Mus musculus: one gene and its partners. The protein of the gene in region 1 interacts with the protein of each later gene in a biochemical or structural test. Links are inferred from orthologs where the notes say so. Each region holds a gene or a part of one and is shown on either strand. Other genes may lie near its edges.

Evidence for each region.
Region 2: the proteins of Cul3 (region 1) and Ube2m form a complex in vitro, tested with the Homo sapiens proteins (2 studies listed by BioGRID, with this or other methods). The link is inferred for Mus musculus from reciprocal best matches to the Homo sapiens genes CUL3 and UBE2M.
Region 3: the proteins of Cul3 (region 1) and Kctd17 form a complex in vitro, tested with the Homo sapiens proteins (3 studies listed by BioGRID). The link is inferred for Mus musculus from reciprocal best matches to the Homo sapiens genes CUL3 and KCTD17.
Region 4: the proteins of Cul3 (region 1) and Pef1 form a complex in vitro, tested with the Homo sapiens proteins (2 studies listed by BioGRID). The link is inferred for Mus musculus from reciprocal best matches to the Homo sapiens genes CUL3 and PEF1.
Region 5: the proteins of Cul3 (region 1) and Dcun1d4 form a complex in vitro, tested with the Homo sapiens proteins (2 studies listed by BioGRID, with this or other methods). The link is inferred for Mus musculus from reciprocal best matches to the Homo sapiens genes CUL3 and DCUN1D4.

The regions. Positions count from the first base shown.
Region 1 is NC_000067.6:80,337,877-80,342,209, reverse strand, and holds the start of Cul3 (cullin-3), read left to right. Parts: upstream 1-1,519; 5' UTR 1,520-1,898; coding exon 1,899-1,964; intron 1,965-4,333. UniProt on the Homo sapiens protein: Core component of multiple cullin-RING-based BCR (BTB-CUL3-RBX1) E3 ubiquitin-protein ligase complexes which mediate the ubiquitination and subsequent proteasomal degradation of target proteins.
Region 2 is NC_000073.6:13,035,121-13,039,343, reverse strand, and holds the start of Ube2m (NEDD8-conjugating enzyme Ubc12), read left to right. Parts: upstream 1-1,365; 5' UTR 1,366-1,614; coding exon 1,615-1,723; exon of another isoform or gene 1,724-1,770; coding exon of another isoform or gene 1,771-1,789; intron 1,790-2,683; coding exon 2,684-2,778; intron 2,779-2,871; coding exon 2,872-2,910; intron 2,911-3,028; coding exon 3,029-3,132; intron 3,133-3,438; coding exon 3,439-3,502; intron 3,503-3,589; coding exon 3,590-3,730; 3' UTR 3,731-4,223.
Region 3 is NC_000081.6:78,427,258-78,431,421, forward strand, and holds the start of Kctd17 (BTB/POZ domain-containing protein KCTD17), read left to right. Parts: upstream 1-1,306; 5' UTR 1,307-1,400; coding exon 1,401-1,610; intron 1,611-2,784; coding exon 2,785-2,893; intron 2,894-4,164. UniProt on the Homo sapiens protein: Substrate-adapter for CUL3-RING ubiquitin ligase complexes which mediates the ubiquitination and subsequent proteasomal degradation of TCHP, a protein involved in ciliogenesis down-regulation.
Region 4 is NC_000070.6:130,106,231-130,110,413, forward strand, and holds the start of Pef1 (peflin), read left to right. Parts: upstream 1-1,325; 5' UTR 1,326-1,396; coding exon 1,397-1,420; exon of another isoform or gene 1,421-1,888; intron 1,889-4,183. UniProt on the Homo sapiens protein: Calcium-binding protein that acts as an adapter that bridges unrelated proteins or stabilizes weak protein-protein complexes in response to calcium.
Region 5 is NC_000071.6:73,489,608-73,493,883, forward strand, and holds the start of Dcun1d4 (DCN1-like protein 4), read left to right. Parts: upstream 1-1,418; 5' UTR 1,419-1,559; coding exon 1,560-1,584; intron 1,585-1,823; exon of another isoform or gene 1,824-1,927; intron 1,928-2,050; exon of another isoform or gene 2,051-2,069; intron 2,070-2,575; exon of another isoform or gene 2,576-3,469; intron 3,470-4,276. UniProt on the Homo sapiens protein: Contributes to the neddylation of all cullins by transferring NEDD8 from N-terminally acetylated NEDD8-conjugating E2s enzyme to different cullin C-terminal domain-RBX complexes which are necessary for the activation of cullin-RING E3 ubiquitin ligases (CRLs).

The DNA of each region.
Region 1 (4,333 bases):
TGTAATAAGAAATAGAGCCATATGATAGGACAGCCAATAGAAAAAGGTTTTATATCCTGATAATTATGGAAATGGCAATCAATTAGCATACTAGTTATAAACAACTATGCATCACTCACTATATTCATCAGAGCCCTTCCTTGTTTTACTTAACCCATTCTTGATATTTTATTTTTAGCTTAACTCTCTAAGCTTAGTCATTACAAATAATTTAGGGTCAATTCAACCATAAATAAACAAGCTTTATCAAGTTTTCCCTTTTGGAGGGCGGGGGTGTGTGAAGGGTGTTCAAGACAGGGTTTCTCTGTGTAGCCCTGGCTGTCCTGGAACTCACTCTGTAGACCAGGCTGGCCTCGAACTCAGAAATCCACCTGCCTCTGCTTCCCAAATGCTGGGATTAAGGTCATGGGCCACCAATTTCAATTGTAGGTGCTAATCCCAACAACAGTTCACTCAAAATGGGAAGATCCAAAACTGGGAGAATCTCAGATTTCCCAGGGGCGTTGGAAACAGCAAATGAGCAAGTATGCAAGGTAGATGTAGGATTCATACTGAATTAGAAGCCAAAAGCAGTCGAATTGGACATTTCGACTATAGGATAAGAGTCCCCGAACAAATAGAAAAATGTCTCCAAACCTACAGCAAACTTAATTTCACAGTGCTTTTGGTTTTAATGATCTATACTGTTCTTGGAAATGGTCGTATGTTTAACACAATATTGTAGTATATTAGGCATTTGTTTTATTTCGGCACAAACAAAAACCGGGTTTTAACATTAGTGGGCTCTGGATCCTCCAGAAGGTATCAACTAATGAACAAACCCAGGAGCTTGTACAGTGTAAGAAGGCCGGGTTGATTCTGAGGCGCTGCAACACCTAGCTAAAAACAGGACACTGGTTTCGCAGTCTGCAGGTAACTCAAGCACAAACCCTGCTTTCAAGTTTCTGGCTGGGCTCAAGTACCCATCCCTAGGCCACGTGCCCTAGAAAAACACAGGAGCAGTTCTAGGACGTAGAACCTTCCTCCTCGCACCCCACGCCCTTTCCCAGGACTACCTACCTACTAGGGCCAAGCTCAGCCCCGCCAGCCCACAACACAACACTCCCCTCTCCCCCTTCCGGAAATTCCCCCGCCCACTACCCACGTGACCCACCACCTTCGCGCTCCACCAATCAGAAGCCACCTCAGCCTACTGGGGTCTCCGACGCTCCTCTTTTGAAAACGCAGCCTACGTCTCCTGCACCAGGCCCCGCCCCCCAGGGCGCTGACTACGCCCATTCCTTAATCCACCCCTCTCCCCCCTCCCCACCACGTTCAGACCCCACTTCTCCCTGCGCCCTCCCTTCCCGGGCTTCGCCCCACCCCGCCCCCGACCGCGCGCCCGCCCCGATCTCGCGAGATCTGACGTGCCCGCCGCGGCCTCCCGCCTCCCCTCCCGTCCTCCCGCCCCCTCCCCCATCTCTCCACTCTCCGCTCTCCTCCCTCCCTCCTCCCCCCTCCACCCTCTGGGCCGGATCTCGTCTCGCTGAGGCGGAGGAGGAGAAGGAGGAGGAGGACGTTCGGCCTGCGCAGTGAGATGTTTGTCCGTCGCCGCCGCCGCCGCCATCGCGGAGGAGCGCGATAAAGGGAGCCGAGCCCGGCGCGAGGGGAAGCCCGCGGAGCCGCCGCGCCAGCGCAGCCCCCGGCCGAGCCCGAGCCGCCCGAGCCCGAGCCGCCGCCCCCGCCGCCGCGGCCGCCCAGGGGCCGGCCCGCCGCCCAGCCCAGCCCGGGGGCCGCGCCGCCGCCCCCCGCCGAGCCCCGCGGCTGCCCTCCCGCCTTCAATGTGACACCGGCGCCTCCGAGTGCGAGCCGCAGCCGCCGCCGCCGTCAGCGCCGCCGCCGGGGAGGGGCCGAGCACCATGTCGAATCTGAGCAAAGGCACGGGCAGCCGGAAGGACACCAAGATGCGGATCCGGGCCTTTCCGGTGAGTCGGTCCTCGGCGCCCGGGACCGGGAGCCGCGGCCCGGAGCCGCACGCGAGGCCGGGGCTGAACTCCGCCAACAGGCCGCAGCCGGCCTCCCCTCCCCCCACGGCCGCCGCCGGTGGCGGAGCGCGAGGCTTCCCGGCAACGGGGCGGCGCGGGGCCGGGTCGGCCACCTCCGGGGCCGTTCCCCGCGCCCCGGCCGCCCCGGGGCCTCCTTCGCTCGGGCCTCGGGGGCCGCGGCCCTGAGGGGATGCGCGCTGTGGCCGCCGCACCCGTCGCGTGGGGCGTGTGTGTAACTTTTAGCGTGCGGTTTCCAGAAGGAGCCGGCTCGGCTTTTACGGCGGTGGGGAGGACTGTCCACCTCTGCTCGACTCCGTAGTCAGGGGCGGTCTTGCCATCCCACTGCCCCACTCACTGACAGAGATGCTAGAAATGCCCACTGGCAAAACACTAGGAGCATAGTATTTATAGCATCCTTGATCCTGCAAAGCTTCCTAAGCGCTTGACCCACTCCGGTTCAGAATCGCCCCTCCACTTCTTGGAGGGCCAGGCACAGCTTTTCCGTGTCTTAGTCAAGGAGGTCCCCAAGAATAGTTGCCACTCAGACTTGTTTTACCTTGTACGTTTTTAGCGACAGCAAACATTTGCTCTTCAGAAACTTTTCCTCTTGGCGTTACGTTGAGTCATAGGCTTGCGGTGTTTAGTAGATGGAGTAGTATGTAACTTTGGATGTCATGCCTCGATCAGATAGCCAGTGGCAGGCAATTAAAATGTCCTGTTGTAACAAACTGGACGTACTTGCTCGTGTCGCTACAGTGACAGGTAAATGTCAAATAGACAAGCCATCAGTGGAGCAGAATTGTAAAAGTAAAACGGAGGGAGGTTGTTTTTCCCTTCTAAGACTCATAAGCATTCTGTCGTGTGGGAGGGGAAGGGGGCCTTTGTCATCACTTTTTGAACAGGCTTTTCCTGAAGTACCCTTTGCTGTGAGGAATGAAAGACCACGATAGTATTGTCTGAGTTAAGTAACTTTGCCTTGGAGAACTTGAGGGCCTCTGAATTCCTCATCCCAAAGAAGTGTACAAGCGATGCAGAATTGTGACTTTGCAAGGGACATATTGTCAGCATGTAAAAACTTGCACCTTTATGTAAATAAATGGGCTCTATGTTAACATGTAGGGTATAATCAGGAGGACGAGATACTTTAATAATAATTGCATTATGAACGATTTTTTTAAGTAAATAAGAGATTACACCAGAAAGTGAGAAATGCTAGAAACACAGTGCCAATAAAGGTAACTATTATGTTTTCCTTTGTAATTGGACAGTGAGCCAGGTTTATGAACTTGAATAATTTCCCTACCTAATCAACCACCCAAGTGATTGTCAAATCCACATCCTTCCCTCTTTTTTTTTAAGCGAATTCAGACATGGTTGTTTTTTATGTTTTAATTTTTTTTTAATCAACTATGACACTGATTTTTCTAGGAAATATTTACTCTTGGTTCTGTTGTTTCTTTGTTGTTTAGTAAAATGTGAAAGAGCTTATATTTGACCAGTTAATATTTTTCAGAGTAACCGGTTCTACCTTTATCTGTGTTTGCAGCTCTTTGACCTCTAGGTTTCTCTACTTGAACCTGTTTTCCTCTCCCCATATACTGAGTACTGTATGCAGGCACTGTTTATTCCTAGAGCTTTAGGACTTAGCAGTAGATGTGAAAAAGGAAAAGATCAGTGGTTTCTGGAGCTAGCATTAGGGATTAGAAGCAGGAAGAGAATTTTGTACCATTAGCTGAATGAAGATGGTATTAGTGTGTGATAGGCTAGTACTAAAACTGAGATTTTTGTTTTGTTTTTTGTTTGTTTTCCAGTTCATAAGTAAATAACCATAAGTTGTTCCCATTGAAATAATTGGCTATTGTTGAGGCTAAATAATGCTCCAGTGATATTTTATTGAGTTCTGGGAAGTGAGTCCATTAGGCTGTCAGAATTGCTTTCATTCAGATTAGATGTCTTGTATATAAGTACAACCCACTTGGATTCTTAGAAGTTAAAATACATAGTATTTCATACACAAAAAATACCATTTATGTTTATTACATGTGTGTATTCCTACAACTGTTATGTGTTATACTATGTGGATATGTAGTTAGCTATAAGTAATGGCAGTTGCTCATTTCAGGTTTTTTATAAAATGGATGTATAAAAGGAATGAAGTAAGTTTAGACTTGTTTGATTTTTCATTGTACAATAGTGGTAAGTTAACTTACAGAATATATTTCATATATAGATGAGTACTTTATCAAAAAAGTACTTTATTAAAGTTCTACCAAATCAGGTTCTCTTACATTTTTAGTGCATATTTTAAG
Region 2 (4,223 bases), on another chromosome or scaffold:
AAAGCAAGCCAGAAAAACAACAGCTGCACAAAAATAGTCAGCATAGATAGTAACTGACAAAAATGGTAACTGACAAGACAGTAATGAACAGTTCTAGAGTGATTTGTCTGAGTCTCAGAATGAGCTAGCCTTAAAAAGTCAGGAGGAGGAGGGTGCTGCTGGCTAAGTCTGGAATGTAGAACCGCGGGTCATGCTGGGTGGCACAAATGCTGTCAGATGGCAAAGAGCAGAACAGAGTCCGAACCTGTTCTGGCCATGTTTTTCAAGCTGTGACCAGACAAGCAACAAGAAGCATTTAGACTCTGGCTTCGGCTGGATTCCTAGATGACAGCCTGAAGTCACTGACCCATCCTGAGCTATTTCCTTCTGCCTCCCAAGCACCCTAAGCTCACTCAACATAAGCCAATCGAGAGGCACAATGCCACTCGAGAGAGCCAATGCCACTTCTGCTGTTCTCTAAGCCGCAGTTATGAGTCCTATACCCACGTCCACCTTGGACCCTAGAACTACACAGTTGCTCACAGCCTGTTGCACAATAGAAATCTATTTTAAGGAACAAGAGTCTCGATGTGTTGCCTAGGGTATCCCTGAGCGCCTGGGCTCAAGCCAACTTGATGCCTCAAGCCTCCAGAGCAATTCGAAATTTAAACTAGTTTACATCAATCCGAATCTGGGATTGCGGTGGGATTAGGGGAGCCTGCTTCTGCACCCTTCGACAACGTCCCTTAAAACGTCCAGGCCCTGCGTTTGCTGAATCCTCAGAGAGCAAAGATCCAGTCTAGCCCGGTTCCGCTGCGCTCCGCGTAAGTGTAAGATTGAATGGAACCACCGAGAGCCAAACGGCCACTCACTACCCGCCTCGCTCAAAAATGGTCGCAAGCACTGCTTCCTACTCTACTGGGTGCGCGTCCCAGGAAGTACCCGCTAGACCGCCGAATAGTCACCTCCACAAACGGAAATACCCGAGCTTAACCGAAAAAGACCGAACCTCAAACTACAATGAGGAGGAACCAGGGGGCTGCAAGGGTTGCGCAGGCGCAGAGCACAGCTGAGGCAGGAAAAACCGAAGTGGGCAGGCGACGGAAAGTGCCGAAGCGGCGGGGCGCCCGAGGCCGTTGCCGACCTCCGCATCGAAGCCGCGCCTGCCGCGGAAGCTGAGCCTCCACCGGTACCCTGCGGTACCCTGCCGCCGCAAGCGCGGCTACCGCCTCCTCCTTCCACCTCACCGCAGCCTCCTAGCAGAGGGAGCAAGTAGGCGGGAGAGCGGCGGACCTGTAAAGGCCGGCGTCCGCAGCCGCAGCGGGGCCTCACCAGACCCAAGCGGAAGAGGGGGAGGAGGGCGCGGGGACCGTAGCAGGGGCGGGGCCGAGGATCGCCGAGTCCTCCCGAGCACCTCCGAACACACCCGAGGTGCTTAGCCAGGCCAGAGCCGGACTACGGGAGCCGAGGCGGGCCGTGCGGTGGGCGCGGAGCAGCGCGGCAGGCCGGGCGAGCGGCAGCGGAGGAGGCCGCGGTAGCGGGTCCGAGGAGCGGAAGCGGCGCAGGCGGCGGCGGGGGGCCGGGTGGCCGGGGTCCCGGGCCCCCGCGGCGGCGGGCTGCGGCGGCGGCGGCAGGATGATCAAGCTGTTCTCGCTGAAGCAGCAGAAGAAGGAGGAGGAGTCGGCCGGCGGCACCAAGGGCAGCAGCAAGAAGGCGTCGGCGGCGCAGCTCCGGATTCAGAAGGGTAGGGGTCGGGACCCTGCGTTCGAGGTCAGGGACCGTGGCGAGAAAATGCGGCCCCTGATATTTGGTATTGGTGGTCAGGTTTCGAGGGTTGTGATGCGGGACTGGGGGTGCGGTCACTAGGGAGGGTCATAGATTGGGGCGTTGGGATACTCGGGCCTGGAGTGTTAGGGACGCGGAATCTGTTAGGGGAGGGGTATAGTTTTGAGAGTCAGACGAGAACTTTGCTCTGGGGTGCCGTGTCGTGAAGATTGTGAAGGTTACGAATTGGGAATAAGTGGGAGACGGTTTAGTGTTTTAAACTGGGGACTCGTGGCCCAAGACTCAGGTCCAGAGGGTCAGGCAGAGCAATTTTGAGTTTGAGGTGAAGAGGAGGGAGAAAAGAAGGTTACAGGAACTAAAAAATGTGAGTGTGGGTCAATTTAAGCTACCATACAGGAAATCTCAAGGATGAGATGGGATCTTGGGCTTGTAATAAGATGGAGACGAGGAAGGACAGTGGAGGTGGGTGGTTGATGAGAAGGGGTGACTTAGTGTTGGGGGGCCGGTGTCATGGTCCTTGAATTGCGGTGGACAGATAAACAGTAGTGAGTGGAGATAATGACTAGAGATAGAAAACCTCAGGTTTAAGGTGCTCAGGGTTCTTGGAAGCAAGGGTTATGGGAGTAGAGGTTCTTGGGGACTATGTTGTGGGAACTTGTGGAGGACTTAGCTGGGTAAGGGTTTTCCCAAGAGATGGGCAGTTATACTTGAAGATGCTTGTATATGGGATACTGTGTATCCAGAAGAGTCCACGTAGAGACTGGAAAGTGGAAAGAATATGGAGTAGTACAGACTGAGTTAAAGTACACCACACAAAGCTCTTCAGGTCTAGAAAGCGAACTTATGGGTTCTGCTGACACATGCCCAGACCTCCTTTCTTTTACCTGTTTCTCTCCCTTTCCATGCTGTCCAAACCTAGACATTAACGAGCTGAACCTGCCCAAGACGTGTGACATCAGCTTCTCAGACCCAGACGACCTCCTCAACTTCAAGCTGGTGATCTGTCCTGATGAAGTAAGAGTAAAACAGGGCAGGATTCCCAAGAACAGACCAGGGGTGGCCCCATAAGAGTAGGGTCTTCATTCACTCTCCCCCTTCCTCTTCCAGGGCTTCTACAAAAGTGGCAAGTTTGTATTCAGCTTTAAGGTGAGTCTCAAGTGTACAAAGGTAGCTCTGTGGAGAAGACTGGGTACAACCAAAACACCTTCCCATCTCCTTTCTCTTTTTACACCTTCCCATCTCCTTTCTCTTTTTCTGGAGCCAGGTGGGACAGGGTTACCCACATGACCCTCCCAAGGTGAAGTGTGAAACAATGGTTTATCATCCCAACATTGACCTCGAGGGCAACGTCTGCCTCAACATCCTCAGGTGAGGGCACTGCCTTCCTTTCCCTCCCAAGACCTGCCTTCCAGGTATCCTCAGCCTTCTGTGGACACTGCATCTATCTCTGTCCTTCCCTCCCCTTTATGGTCAATCTGTTTCTGTCTTAGTTGTTTTTCTAATGACCTGACCTTGGCTTTCTCTGTGTCCTGCCCTGTCCCGTATCTTCACTCTTAGATCTCACACTTCAATGTTAAAAGGCCTTCTATGGGCCTAACCTGTTCAGTATTAGCAGGGCCTGTAGCAGCCTCCCACTCACCAGCCCCTGATAACCTTGATGCTCTCTGCCCACAGAGAGGACTGGAAGCCAGTCCTTACGATAAACTCCATAATTTATGGCCTGCAGTATCTCTTCTTGGTAAGTAGGGTTAGGCATTTGAAGCTGAGGGTTTGTTGGCCATCTGCCTCTCTCTTGCCTGTTGACTTCCACTTGTACCGGCCACAGGAGCCGAACCCTGAGGACCCACTGAACAAGGAGGCTGCTGAGGTCCTGCAGAACAACCGGCGGCTGTTTGAACAAAATGTGCAGCGCTCCATGAGAGGTGGTTACATCGGGTCCACCTACTTCGAGCGCTGCCTGAAATAGGGTTAGCAATTACCCATCCCTGCCAGGGTTACCGGCCCAGGCATCCCCTGCAAATATTTATTGGGGGCCCGGGTAAGGTGTGTGGGGTAGCCTTGGCCCCTGCCTTGGCCTTGCCTCTCTTCCCTGTCACCTGCCCCTAGTTATTTTTTTTTTGACCACCACGTGATTATGGTCGGTGCTGCCTCCCCCCCGACCTGCTCAGCGATGGGAAATGAATTGGCTTGTTTAGCGCCCCCCCCCTCCCGCTGGGTGCTGTCCAACTCCCCACTCTTGACTGTGGGGTAAGTGGGCAATGGGCCTGGGTCGCTAGGCCCAAGCAACCCACCCCACCACCACTGGAGGTCCCACCAGGCTATTAAAGGGGAATGTTACTGCATGGCCTCTGCCTCTTCCTTCTGTGGGGTGGGAGGTACAAGTGAGGTCCACCAGCGTCTATAATGAAGATAAATGTGGCCGTGGATTGGGTGGGACCACTCACTGGGATGAGGTGCAA
Region 3 (4,164 bases), on another chromosome or scaffold:
TGGGCATGACTGTAGGAGATTGTCTTGATTACATTAATTGATGTGGGAAGACACAGCCCACTGTGGGAGACACCATTCCCTAGGCTTCAGCCCAGGACGGTGTAAGAGTGGAGACAGTGAGCTGAGTACAAGCATACATTTGTTCTCTCTCTGCTCTTGATTGTGGATGTGGCTAGCTGCCTCGAGGTCCTGGAACCTAGACTTCCCTATAGCAAAGAGCTCATATGGAATTATGAGCCAAATAAACCATTTTCTTCCTACGTTAGCTTTTGGCAGGATGTTAATATTACATCAACAGAAAGTGAAACTAGGCCATCCCTAAGTCAGGTCTTTTTGTACCTGCTGTGTTGTCCTAAAAGGAACAACTGTCCTCAGGAACTCACTGAACAGTGGGGTGAGAACAGCAGTGACCATGTCCCCCAAACAGGATCCTCCCCCTCCCCTGTTTCCTCTCCATTCTGCTAGCCCAGCAATCACCTTGAATGCCAATGCTAGAGTGACCATTTCCAAACCCTAAGCCCATTCCTCCTTTGCTGAGAGCTTTGGAGCCTCCCCAGTCCTGCTGCACACCCCACACTCCCATCAAGGAAAGGCATCTGGGGGGCCTGGGCATCTCAGCATCATGGGGGAGGGGGCTATTCTAAAACTCCCCTTCCCCACTTTGTAGAGCCGATCCATGCCTCATCTCCAAGCTTCAGGTCAAGCACATATGGAAGCCAAGTGGCACCAGAGAAGCCAGTACCTGAACTTCATCTTCTGAACGTTCACTCTTTAAGCAGACTCCGTAGCATTCAGACTAGACCAAGACTGGCATCCAGAGCAACCCGGCAGGGATGCAGGAAGCTTAAAGGAGTCATATGTATGCTCACACAGCTTCTGGCACACAGAAACGTTCAGCCAGCCCTAAGCCCAACTACATATCCTCAAAGAATTTAGGAAGAGGTGGTGACTATACCTCATCCCCGTGGTCTTTGCCACACACGGGACAAAAAAGAAACACTGCTGATGTGGCTCATGCACGCATATGCACACACGCACATGCTCACACACAGGCGCGTGCGCCTATTTTTAAAAGTAGGTTCAGGTAAATATAGGAATTTCTGGAGGAAGAAAGTTCTTCTCAGGTCAGGTATTCCTCAGCTGGGGCCCCCGTACAAAGCAGAACAAATGGGGGGGGATAGCCAATGAGGAAATCACTGTTTTCGCAGGGCCTTCTGCAAACCAAGCAGTCTGGCCACACGGAGAGACCAGATGATAGATCACCAAGAAAGGCAATGTGGGGCGGGACGTGCTGTCCGAGCAACACCAGGACAAGCGCAGAGCATCCCAGCCCTGGCTCCAGACTACAGCTCCCGGCATGCCCTGCACCTGGTACTCGCCCGCGGCGTGCGGAGGGAAGGATGCAGACAACGCGGCCGGCGATGAGGATGGAGGCCGGGGAGGCAGCGCCACCGGTGGGGGCGGGCGGCCGCCCCGGGGGCGGCTGGGGCAAGTGGGTGCGGCTGAACGTGGGGGGCACGGTGTTCCTGACCACCCGCCAGACGCTGTGTCGGGAGCAGAAGTCCTTCCTCAGCCGCCTGTGTCAGGGCGAAGAGCTTCAATCGGACAGGGTGAGCCCTGAGCCCGCTGACAGGGGGGTCCTGGCCCCGCGCTCCCGGGCTGTCCCGCCTGCGCGTCCCTCGGCCTCTGGCTTTCCTAGGATTCTGAGGCGGGGAGCCGAGGCAGGAGGAGGGGGAGGAAGAGGAGCCGAGAGGAATAGCTATACCCATTGCCGTGGCAACGGGACAGCACAGGCCGCAGCCATTTAGAGCTTTGGAGAGCTGCCCCAGATCCGGGACGCTTCCTTACTGTGGAGCGCTGGGGAGGGACCAACAAACCGGGCCTGCCTTACTGCCCTGGCTGACTCTTAAAGGAGTTGATGCGGCTGCTTCTCCCCGCCCTTAGGGTGTGGGCAGCTGAAGGGTACAAGGAACTAGATGGAGGAGGCCTGGGTGTCTTGGAGCTGGGCTTAATGTAGGGAAGAGCACTGGCTTTGGAGCTATCACTTGTGGGCTCACCCTGCTCTCCTGCCAAATTCCCAAATGACCAGGGAGGAATCGGGAGGAGAGGGGAACTTCCCTGCTCTCTGACTTTGGCCTCCTAGTGTGCAAGGCCTCTGGAGTTGGCTTGTCAAAGTCCCCTGTCCCCCATTCTGTGGCCCTCTTACACTGTGCCCTTGGGTGAGTCCCCTGTCCCTTGATGTCTCCGTCTTCTGTGCTGGGTTGTCCAGATCCCAGTCCTCCCTGCAGGCTGCACTTGTCCAATCAGAGTGCAGCTTCTTTGGAAACTTGCAAACATCTAGTGAATAGTGGGGTTGGCTGGGGGTGGGGGTGGGCGCGGTACACAGCCTCCAAGAGGGAAACTTTCCTAAGAGGGAAATTCACTGGGTCCTGTGCTGAGAGAGAGGTAAGGGGCCACTCAGGAATCCGGTCACCCTCTATACTCACATCTAATCCTCTGACTATGGGAGAAAGAAGCAACGCTCCAGAGGCCAGATGATTGGCTCAAGGTCACACAGCCTGGAAAAGGCAGAGGCAGGGTTCGAACCCAGATCCTTACTGCTTTCTTCCTGCTTCCTCTCTCCCTGTAGCCATTCTTCCAGCCAGCCTGTGGTGACTTGAGTTTATGTGTGTGTGTGTGTATGTGTGTATGTGTGTGTGTGTGTGTGTGTGTTAGGAGGGGTGGGGGTGGCTGGCTTGGGGAAGCTTGCACACCCCTCACTTCCTGTGGTCATCTCCTCCACAGGATGAGACCGGGGCCTACCTCATTGACCGTGACCCCACCTACTTCGGGCCCATCCTGAATTTCCTCAGGCATGGAAAATTGGTGCTGGACAAGGACATGGCCGAGGAGGGTGAGTTGGTCCATTGCGCTGGTCTGGGTCTCTACAGCCTACCGGAGCCTTCAGGGGAGGCCTAAAAAAATTGTCTTGAAGCCAGGACAGTGGCTACATTTCCCCATTATTTTCTGCCTGTCCCAGAGTGGAGTCCCATTCTCCAGGTCTCGGCAAGACCGACAGACCCCCGTGGTCACTGGGTAAATGGCAGGGAAACAGGAAGTGGTAAAAAGGAAGCCAGCCAGGTCCTGAAACATCTGTAGCCTTTGGGAATGTACGTCCTTCCTCCCTGGCCTCTGGCAAGCCAGGCGTAGCCTGTGATGCTCCAGGCTGGATGGGGGAAGGGTTGGGTCTTTTTTCTCGGCCTTACTCTGTGTCTCCCAAGCAAGGGCTTCCCATCAGCCAGGAGGCAAAGTTAGTGGTTCTCCCCCATAGCTGGCAGCCTCTACGGCCCAGTGGCTTGTTGGGGAGAACTTTGGCCTTTCCCAGACCCCTGGAGGCTCATATCCGGGCCCAGCTGATGTGGAATCGGGGTGGGGAATAGATCAGAGCAAGGACCACAGTCATCCCCAAACCAGCTCTCCTCGGTACACTTGAGCTCTGGACCAGGCTAGCTCAGACGTGTCAGTTTTCTTTGAGTCTCTCTTGGTGTCTCCAAAAATACCAAAAAAACAAAAACAAACAAACAAACAAAAAAGGCATCACGACCCACATTCAGAAGACTGTGTGTTGGGACAGATGGGTCCTGTGTACCTGTGGGTGTTTTACACGGCCCTCGCTCTAGGCTATGGTCCTCTCCAGCTGACCCCAGTGGAGTACGGTGATCCAAAGGCTCCCCAAAGGACATCACGCTTAGGGCTTACTGTAGGTAGCTAGCTCTGCGTTAGCCTGCTGAAGCTGCCTAGCAGTCTGAGGGGAAGCGATCACGTGGGTGGGGCCTGGGCTCAGGAGCAGGTCCCTCTGGGAGGCTCATACTCCAGCTGCGTCACAGCTAATACCTGTTTACAGGTTCTAGCGCCTCAACGCTCTGTGCTCTCCTACCCTCAGATGCTCTCCTACCCTCAGATGCTCTCCTACCCTCAGATGCTCTCATACTCTCAGATGCTCTCCTACCCTCAGATGCTCTCCTACCCTCAGATGCTCTCATACCCTCAGATGCTCTCATACCCTCAGATGCGGTGGTGGTGGTGGGGTTATCTGGAGAGATGGAGTTCTCAAGGAGGCAGTGGAAATGTTAGTTTAACCTCTCTGGGTCTGTGAAGGGTAGAAACAGTTGTGCCCGACTCAGT
Region 4 (4,183 bases), on another chromosome or scaffold:
GGTCTTTATGAATGAGTGTTGTAACCCTGAGTGTGAGAGGCTGTGACTAGTTCATTTTTAAGTTAGCATTTTCCTAAGTTGTATTCCAGAAAACTGTGACTCAGAGAGGTTAAATGACTTCTTCAAGATCACACAGCTAGAAACTGTTTAAAAAAGAAAACGAACAACAGGATCTGCTCACTAACGCCAGTGCTGAGGGGGAAGCTGAGCAAAGAAATAAGCCAGCGGGGCGCTGGTGGGTAAGGCTGGGCCAGATCACGAAGGAACTGGATCACCAGACTTGTCTTCCTCTGCAGGTAAGGATGAGGACCGTGCTTTGCAGACTGTCCTATGGCCAGTACCACGATCAGCAGTGGGACTGTGGAAAGTGCCTGGCTAGATTGAAAGCTCAGGACTTTTTATTTAAAAAGTATAGTGTTGGCACTGTAGATACTGGGGATACAATTATAAGCAAATCAAACACAATTCTTGTCCACATGAGAGTTTTTGTTGTTGCTGCTGCTGCTGTTGTTGTTTGAGACAGAGCCTCATTATGCAGCCATGGCTAGACTGGAACTGTCTATGTATGTATGCTTGCTTCTGCCTGCTGAGACTAAAGGCATGTGCCACCAGGCCCGGCCACGTGGGAATGTAACTAATCAAATAAACATGCAACCAAGTTTAGAACCTAAACCCCAAGAGCCAAGTACAGGAAAGTTGGTAACTTAGGAACTGTGATTTGACCTACAGAGGGAATAAAACCTCCTTGTTGAGACCTAGTCATCTACTGACACTAGTTCTAGGCCGTACTTTGCTGAGGAACTCACTGTGAGTTTAGGTAACTAAGTCATTGCCTTTCTGAGCCTCAGTTTCCCCATACATAAAGATAGGAGCACCGTGACATCTTAATTTTCCTTCTCTTCTGGCGGTCTGACCTTTCTCCACTGTCCACGGGTCTGTTTAGTACCCACGTTCTAAATGGCACCTGCATTCCAGGAAAGGCTTAAGTTCTCAGTAGCCATGGCAACCGCCTGGGCGTTAGAAGTAAAGTGATCACGACAGTGACGTAACTAATATGCGTCAGGTTATAATATGGCCTTGCCAGGTTATAATATGGCCACCACAGAAACAACTGACCAAGTCTCCCCATTAGATAACTACAGCTGGCCAGGCCCGAGGTCCGCTGCAGGTCACGAAAAATAAAAACAAACGAGCCACTACGGTCAACAACACTTCCGGACACTCCTACCCAGCCCTCTGTAAGGTACCAGCTCACCGCCTGTGACTTCCGTTTGTTGACCGGAAGATTGACAGCCTGTCCGTCCAATCACAATCGGACCCGCCCCAAAATCCAACCAGGAGCGGCATTGGGAGCAGGAAACTCCGCCTACCACAGTTGTGTGACGTCATAACCGCCATGGCCAGCTATCCAAACGGACAGGTGAGTTGTAGTGGCCCCTGCGTCAATATTTGGGCTTGTCTATAGATCCGGTACCACTCTCCATCCTCGGCTCTTTCTCCCCACTTGATCCGCAGCCTTTTCACGCAGAGGTTTACTTCAACAAGACTCTGTGTGAGCGAGAAACAGGAGGGCCAGTCCGTCGCGCTCGTTTTACGTCACATAGGACCACTCGAGGGGTTGTTTATATTGCGCAAAACTGGCTTTGGGGGTTTTGCTGTGAATTGATCCGGGCTGAACCGGACCAGGGTGCTTAACTCAGGTCTCCGTGGGGCGGAGTCCTCTGTGCTCTCGAGGCGTTTAGAGCTCTTTTTCCCTTGGAGTCTTTCTGGGCGTAACTTGATAAAAACAAGTTGCCCGACTCTCTCAGCACCGTCCTGCGACCGAATAATCTCGGGACAATCAGTGGTAGGAGGTACCAGAAGTGAGATTACACCCCTCACGGTTGTCCAGCGTCCTTTCACACGTAGGAAAAGTGAAACCCAGAGAAGATATGGAGTTTATCTAAGTTACCAAGTAGTTAGGCAGCAGAGCCAAGGTCAGAACTTGGGTTGTCTGCAACTGCTTCTTCCTTCCTTTCTAGCCTGCCTTGAACCAGCCGGGAACATCATTTCAGTGTGATTTATTTTGTGGCCAGAATTAGGTGACATAGAGGTGCCAAATGCAGTTTTGAGTTAAAAGTGGAGCCAGATCTTTGCCGCATTAGTTTTAAGTCTTTTTTTTTTTTTTTTTTTTTTCCTGATCCAGTTTCCTCTCATAAAATGGACCAAGTAGTAAGAGTCCACCCCTCACAGAGTTATTAGGAAGAACGATGTGATTCCTGTAGGCATATGCTATGCTATACGGTAAAGTGTAACATCACTTTGTAGGAGTTTTCAAAGCAGGCCCCTCACTTCGAAATAATTTGGACAAAATAATCGTCCTGATCACAGAGTAGTTTAAGAGATTAGTCTCATGTATGGAAAGTGGAATGCAAAGTCAAATGGGTTATTACCAAGCTTTGATTGGCCATAGTCACAGACTAAAAGATATTTAAAGGCCTATGTGGTTTATATAGCATTTCTTACATTTACTTTGTGTGTGTGTTGGGGGTGGGGAGAGGGCGGCTACACATGTGCACATGCACAGGAATTATTTTTTTCTCTATCATGTGGGTCTTGGGGATCAACCTTCTTGGGCCTTTCAGCAAGCCCCTTTACCCACTGAGTCATCTTGCTGGCTCCCACACAGCAGTTGGGCCCCCATTGTGCCCATATGAAGACCCTGTAAGCATGCAGGGCTTATTATTTTGACTTATAGCTGAGGAGCAAACCCAGAGAGGCTTAGAGGTCTCACATAGCTGGTGAGGGTGAGGCCAGGGTTAGAGCTTTGAATTCCACTTATTGCATACTTGGCAGAAGTGAGTAGAGGCCAGTGTGGGCTCCAAGTAGGAAGAACTACCACAGCCTGGCTTCCCAGACTCCGCCCCACTTGCTGGGTTTTGTGAGATGTTAATGGGTGCTCTTGATAGAGGATCCTGTGGTTAAGCAAGCTTGGGAACTGCTCTGTTAATACAGCGTGGTAATGCTCACTGCAAATCTCCCAGAAAGTCATAGAATGCGTCATAGTCCTAAAAACTTTCTTAACCAGGGACCACCCTACCCCATCTGTTTTGAATTACGTCTGCTCATTGTTTTGTGACAAGCTGGTGTTCCACGGGAGCTCAGGTTGGGAAAGCATTCCCATAGTACATATTTTTAGTGGCTGGTTTGTATCAGAATTACCTGAGAGCTTGTTTAAAGGACAGATTTGGGCCCCATCTAAGACCTGCTCTAAGCTTAGATGGCACAGATCCCACCCCCAAATTGTGAGGGGTGTGTGTGTATTTACCTGTGTGGGGACAGTAAACATCTGTAAACCAAAAGTTGACAATTGAGTGGCTGCCTCAGTTCTCAGTTGTTCCCCAACTTATTTTTTGAGGCCATCTCTCAATGAACAGGGAACTCACTGAGCCAGATTATCTAGCCAGTGAGGGATCTTCATTGCCTCTGCCTCCCCGGGCATACTTTGTCCTACCTGGCTGAGGATCCGTGCAAGTAGGTTGTCTTGCTTTCATGGCACACAGTATACCAGTAGAGTGATCCTCCTAGCCCCAGTAATCTACGTCTTAATACGTGTTAGGAATGATTTGTATACACTCTAGAAGCAGTGTCCTGGGCAAGAATCCAGCTCTACCCACTTAAATGTTATATGCCCTTGGCTACATCATGTAATGGCTCGGGGCTTTAATTCTCTTACCACAGAAAGGGAGGAATAGGGCCTGTGGAAAGGGTGCGAGAAGGGTGGGATGCTGCACAGCCTGTAGGGAGCTCTGCAGTCACGGGTGCACAGGGTGTGGCGTGGCGGTGACACTCCCTGCCATTGCCGTGACGGTTACTTTGCCAGGCTGCCTGGGCTTCTGTTGAGGGCAGAATACTGAAAGGGAGCACTAGAAGGAAATGTCTGGAATAGAAGAAGAAATATAGCTTTTATTCCCACCTTAGAGTTGTCCGCCTCCTCATCCCAGGTGTTCTAAGAAAGGAAAACTGCTTGTTTGAAGTCATGCAGAGGCGCAGGCAGTGCTGCCTCCTTCCACCCACTGGATACTTCCGAGGATTACAGCCGTTGGTGGGAGTCACAGTTCCTGTAATTTTCCATTGCCTCCGGCCCAGGGTGCACAGGCGCTGCCTTGGTATTGAAGTAGCAAAAGTTGAGTGCCGTTTGGTT
Region 5 (4,276 bases), on another chromosome or scaffold:
GCACTTAAAAAAATATAGAAGCTCCCAACCCAGGAGCCTACAAGTACCTTCCTTTGTTTATGAGACTTGGCTAAGACTCTGTCCTGTTAAGGAGACCCAAAAGAATGCTCTATGAAGAGTTCTTGTCTTCAGATGCAATTCTGATATTTTGCAATTTGATGAAGTGAATCATATGCATTTGAATGACAAATATGAAAGATTGCGTTATTGGGATTCAATTTAATTACAGAGAAATAGAGGGCGATGAGATGGAACATATCACAGTAACAAACACAGTGATGTAGATAACAAGGACTGTAAGCTGTTTTGCGCTTGTAACATTTGTCCGGATTTCAGAACTCTACAACTCAAGAGCCTGGGCTGTAGAATTCAGAATCCTAACGCAGGACCCCTTTGTTATCTTTGGTCATATCATCCAGTGCGTGTGGCGGAATCTACAGGCTGTCCAGGCTGTGGTTGGGGCAAGCGAGGTTTGGACATGGAGTGTGTGTTTGCGGTGGGGGCGGGGCGCCCACCCTCGCACATCTCAGCGTTATTGCATTACCTGTGATTGTGGAGAACTGGTTTTCAAGTACTGAAAAACTCCAAGAAACAACAAAAGCAGTATTTAGGACACTTAACAATCACAACCCCATTAACGCTTCCCTCTGCTAAACAGCGGTTTGGCCAGGTTCGACTTATGTTTCTTAGACTTTTATAGTCAGGGGACCTGGCTTATCTTGGTGTCAGGCTGACCCCAGAGCCTAATGTGGCACTAGGTTTTTCTCTCGCTGTCTGGGGACCGCAGAGGTGTCTGACGTTCAATGCCTGAAGCATTCGAAACCTTTGGCGCAAGTAACGCATGACTCTGAATAATTGACTCTGAAAAAGAGGCGCATTTCCAAAGTTGAGGACAGAAAGGTTGTGGCATAAAGGGGAGGAAAGCGGAGATATTTTTCTTCTTCTAATTTTCCGCAATGGGAAACGATTGAGGAGAACCGGCGGGACCCGGGCGCGGGCAGTAGCGGGATCTGGCCGATGGCCTCCCAGGGAACACCAGTCCCTGTGGGCTGGAGCTTGGCTCTAGGTCCCTCAGGCTGCTTTGTTTCGGATGCTTAACCCAGGTTCTCGGCTGGGCTCTCGGTTGGTCTCCCGCTCCAGGATCCGCCCGCCACAGGGCGGGGCTTCAGGGTCAAGGTGGACCAATTCCCCAGTCTCGCCCCTCCACGCGCTTTCGGACCCCTGAATGACTGACAGCCGTTGGGTCCAACCTGCGGCTCCGAACAGTGGCCTCCACCAGGGGCGGTCGGAGGCGAGACGCCGGGGCCAATCACGTTGCAGTCTAGGGGGCGGGGCCTCCTTGCCAGCTGCAGGCGGCGCAACCAGCACTTCTTCGGTCAAATGAGAGCCGAAGAGGGGCGGTCCCCCGGCTGGGGTCTAGCCAATGAGAAGGGCGGGATGGGCGGGCCGGAGAAGAAGCCGGCGGTCCTCTGTTGCGAGCTAAGGTTTGGGGAGTCGGTAGGGGGACCGCGAGTGGAGCGCGGGAGCCCGGGCGGCAGGCGGGTGTGAGCTGCCCGAAAATGCACTCGGATGCTGCAGCTGTCAGTGAGTAGCACAGAGCCAGCGGGCCCGCACACCGCGTCCGCTCCTGCGCTCCCTTCTCCACTTCTCCGGTTCCGATCGCGCTGGAGTCCCTGGCCCGGGAGCGGGTTGAACCCCTCCTGGAGTCCGAGGGCCGTGACGCTGCGGGCGGCTGGGGCGGGGGCAGGGGCGGCGGGGAGGGGGTGGGGACTGGCTGGCTTTCCGCGGTTGGGGGAGGGGGGACATTCTGGAAGGCCGGGGGCCGAGAGTCGGTGGTGCACGGAGGTGGAGACGGCGGCGGGCGCTGGCAGCTGGGGTCGGGGGTGGTACGAGCGGGCAGGGAGAGGGCCTGCGGTCCGAGTACAGGGTGAGGCTTGCGGGGCCCGAGCCGTACGGTCTACCGGGGAAGGCGGGGGAGTGCGAGGGGAGAGGGGGCGGGGACAATGGGAAGGAGGGCTGGGGGCGGGGGCGGGAACAATGGGTGGGGAGCTGGGGCAGCGGCCGGGCCGGTGAGGGGATGGGGGGTGATGTAACGGGGGCCATGGAGTGGGAGACGCCGCGGTGGGATGGGAGAGTTGTGGAGTCCGGTGTGCGGGACGGCGGTCGGGAGTGGGGAGAGGGCTTGGGGGGCAGGTGTTGGGACAGGCGGTCCCCGGAGGAGTGGATGGCGGATAGGACTGCTGTGCAGTTTGGGGGCTGGGACAGGGGTCGGGGAGGGTGTGCGGAGTGAGTTAGGAGGAAGAGTAGGTGGGGAGAAGCGGGGACTGGGAGGGCTGTCATCTTCGGGTACGGTGCTCTTGGGGCGGGGTGGGGAGCGTTGGACTGTCCATTGGGGGAGGCGCCTCCTCCCTGGAGAGGCCCGGTTCCAGCCTAGGAGGGGACCACCATTGAGCCTCGGGGTGCACTGAGGAGAGGGGGCGGGGCCGGGTACCCGGGAGGTGTCCCGAGGCTGGCAGTAGCCTCCGCGTTCGGCGAGCAACGGGGAGCGAGGTCAGCGCGGGCTGGGGTTACAGGACCGGGAGGCCGCTGTCTGCGAGCTGACTCGACCCGCAGGGGTCCTGGAAGCGGGGTGGAGGAATTGGCGTAAGAGGTTGTCGGGGTCCCCGGCGGTCCGTAGGTTTGGCAGTGTGTGACGCAGTTCTCTAATTTCTGGCCATCAGGTGTAGAGGCTGATGCGTCAAGACCTGTTACCTTGTACGGAGGGCCGCTTTGGAGGCATAGCAACGCGCGTGCGAGAAGCTACCTCCGCCCGAAGCACCGGGAGGGTGCTTTAGGGGTTTCCTTTAGGGTCTGGCTCCCCGAGCCGGTGTAAAGGGAAAGGCAGTCTCGTGGAATTCTGGGTCTTGTAGTCCCAGCCGCCCTGGGCCGCGGTTGGATTGGGTGCACGTGGGTAACTGTGGAAACGAGTCCCAGAATTCAGCGCGCCCCTTGGACCCTCCTTGCTTGACTAACTCGTGCTTTATGCCGCGGAGACTCAATGCATTCTCTCCCGGGAGATGCCTGGGTTCCTTGGGACAGTGTCCACCGCAGAGGGAAAGCCCAGGCCAAGCCCTGGCCTTTCTCCAAGATAATTTACCCCTGCATCTGCCTTGGGGAGCGAAAGCTTAGTCTCAAATCATCCTGCACACGTTCGTTTTAAAGCAACGTTTACCATGGAACATTTAGAGCGTGTTCATTGTATGGACGTCTAGAGTGAAGTATATAGCCTTACATAAGTATGGAAACTAAGTAGAGATTCGTAATATCCCTTGTGAAGAAAATACAGATAACTGCACTGGGTATTTCTTGGGCTACTTGGTTTGTCCAAGAGTTAGGGGATTTTTCTTTTGGAAGCGAATCAAGAATGGCAGCTTAGTGGAATTTGGGGTTGAAGTAGTCTCATGCCAGAACCTGCAATGAAATCCTAAAGGTGAGCAAAGGGGAACTGTGATGTCTTAACTTTTATGTAAGTGAAGCGAATGAGGCTGTAAAGTCCTTCCCTTTGGACTATTACAGGTCTTCCTAGTTTGTGGGCATCCTTTGCCAGTTCTCCTTGGTGATCACCCTAAATCAAATGTAGGGACTATAAGATTATTTTTGTGTGGTGTAATGGATACTATGAAACATCCATAATCGCAATGGTTATTGGAGGGGTGTTTTAATAACCCAGCGGTAAACATATTGAGGGCGAGTTTTAATATTTGGAAACGACTTGACACAGTTAAGACAGTACTAAACTTGTCTATGTGTTTGATAATGTTTTTTTAAATTTATTTTTACTATTTTAAGTATATATATATATATATATATATATGTGTGTGTGTGTGTGTGTGTGTGTGTGTATGTGTACATGCATATAGATGCAATGGAGAGCAGATGTGTGTGTGTGTGTGTGTGTATGTGTACATGCATATAGATGCAATGGAGAGCAGATGAAGGGTCCCCTAGAACTGGTGCTTGTGAGCTACTCAACTGAGAGCTAGGAATGGAACTCAGATCCTCTGCAAGAGCAATAAGCACTCCTAATTCTCCAGACCTTACAGGATGGCTTTTGAAATAAGGTCTGAGAAACTTGTGAGAATATGTTTTAGGGAAACAATTTATATCTATCCTGTTTTGACTTACACCTGCAGTAAAATCTCTAAGAACTGTCTTGTATAGAGTATGGACATTTTCCAACAAAGTATTTAATCCAGGATTTGCTGTTGCCGAGTGATTGTGGTGGGGTGGGGTGGGG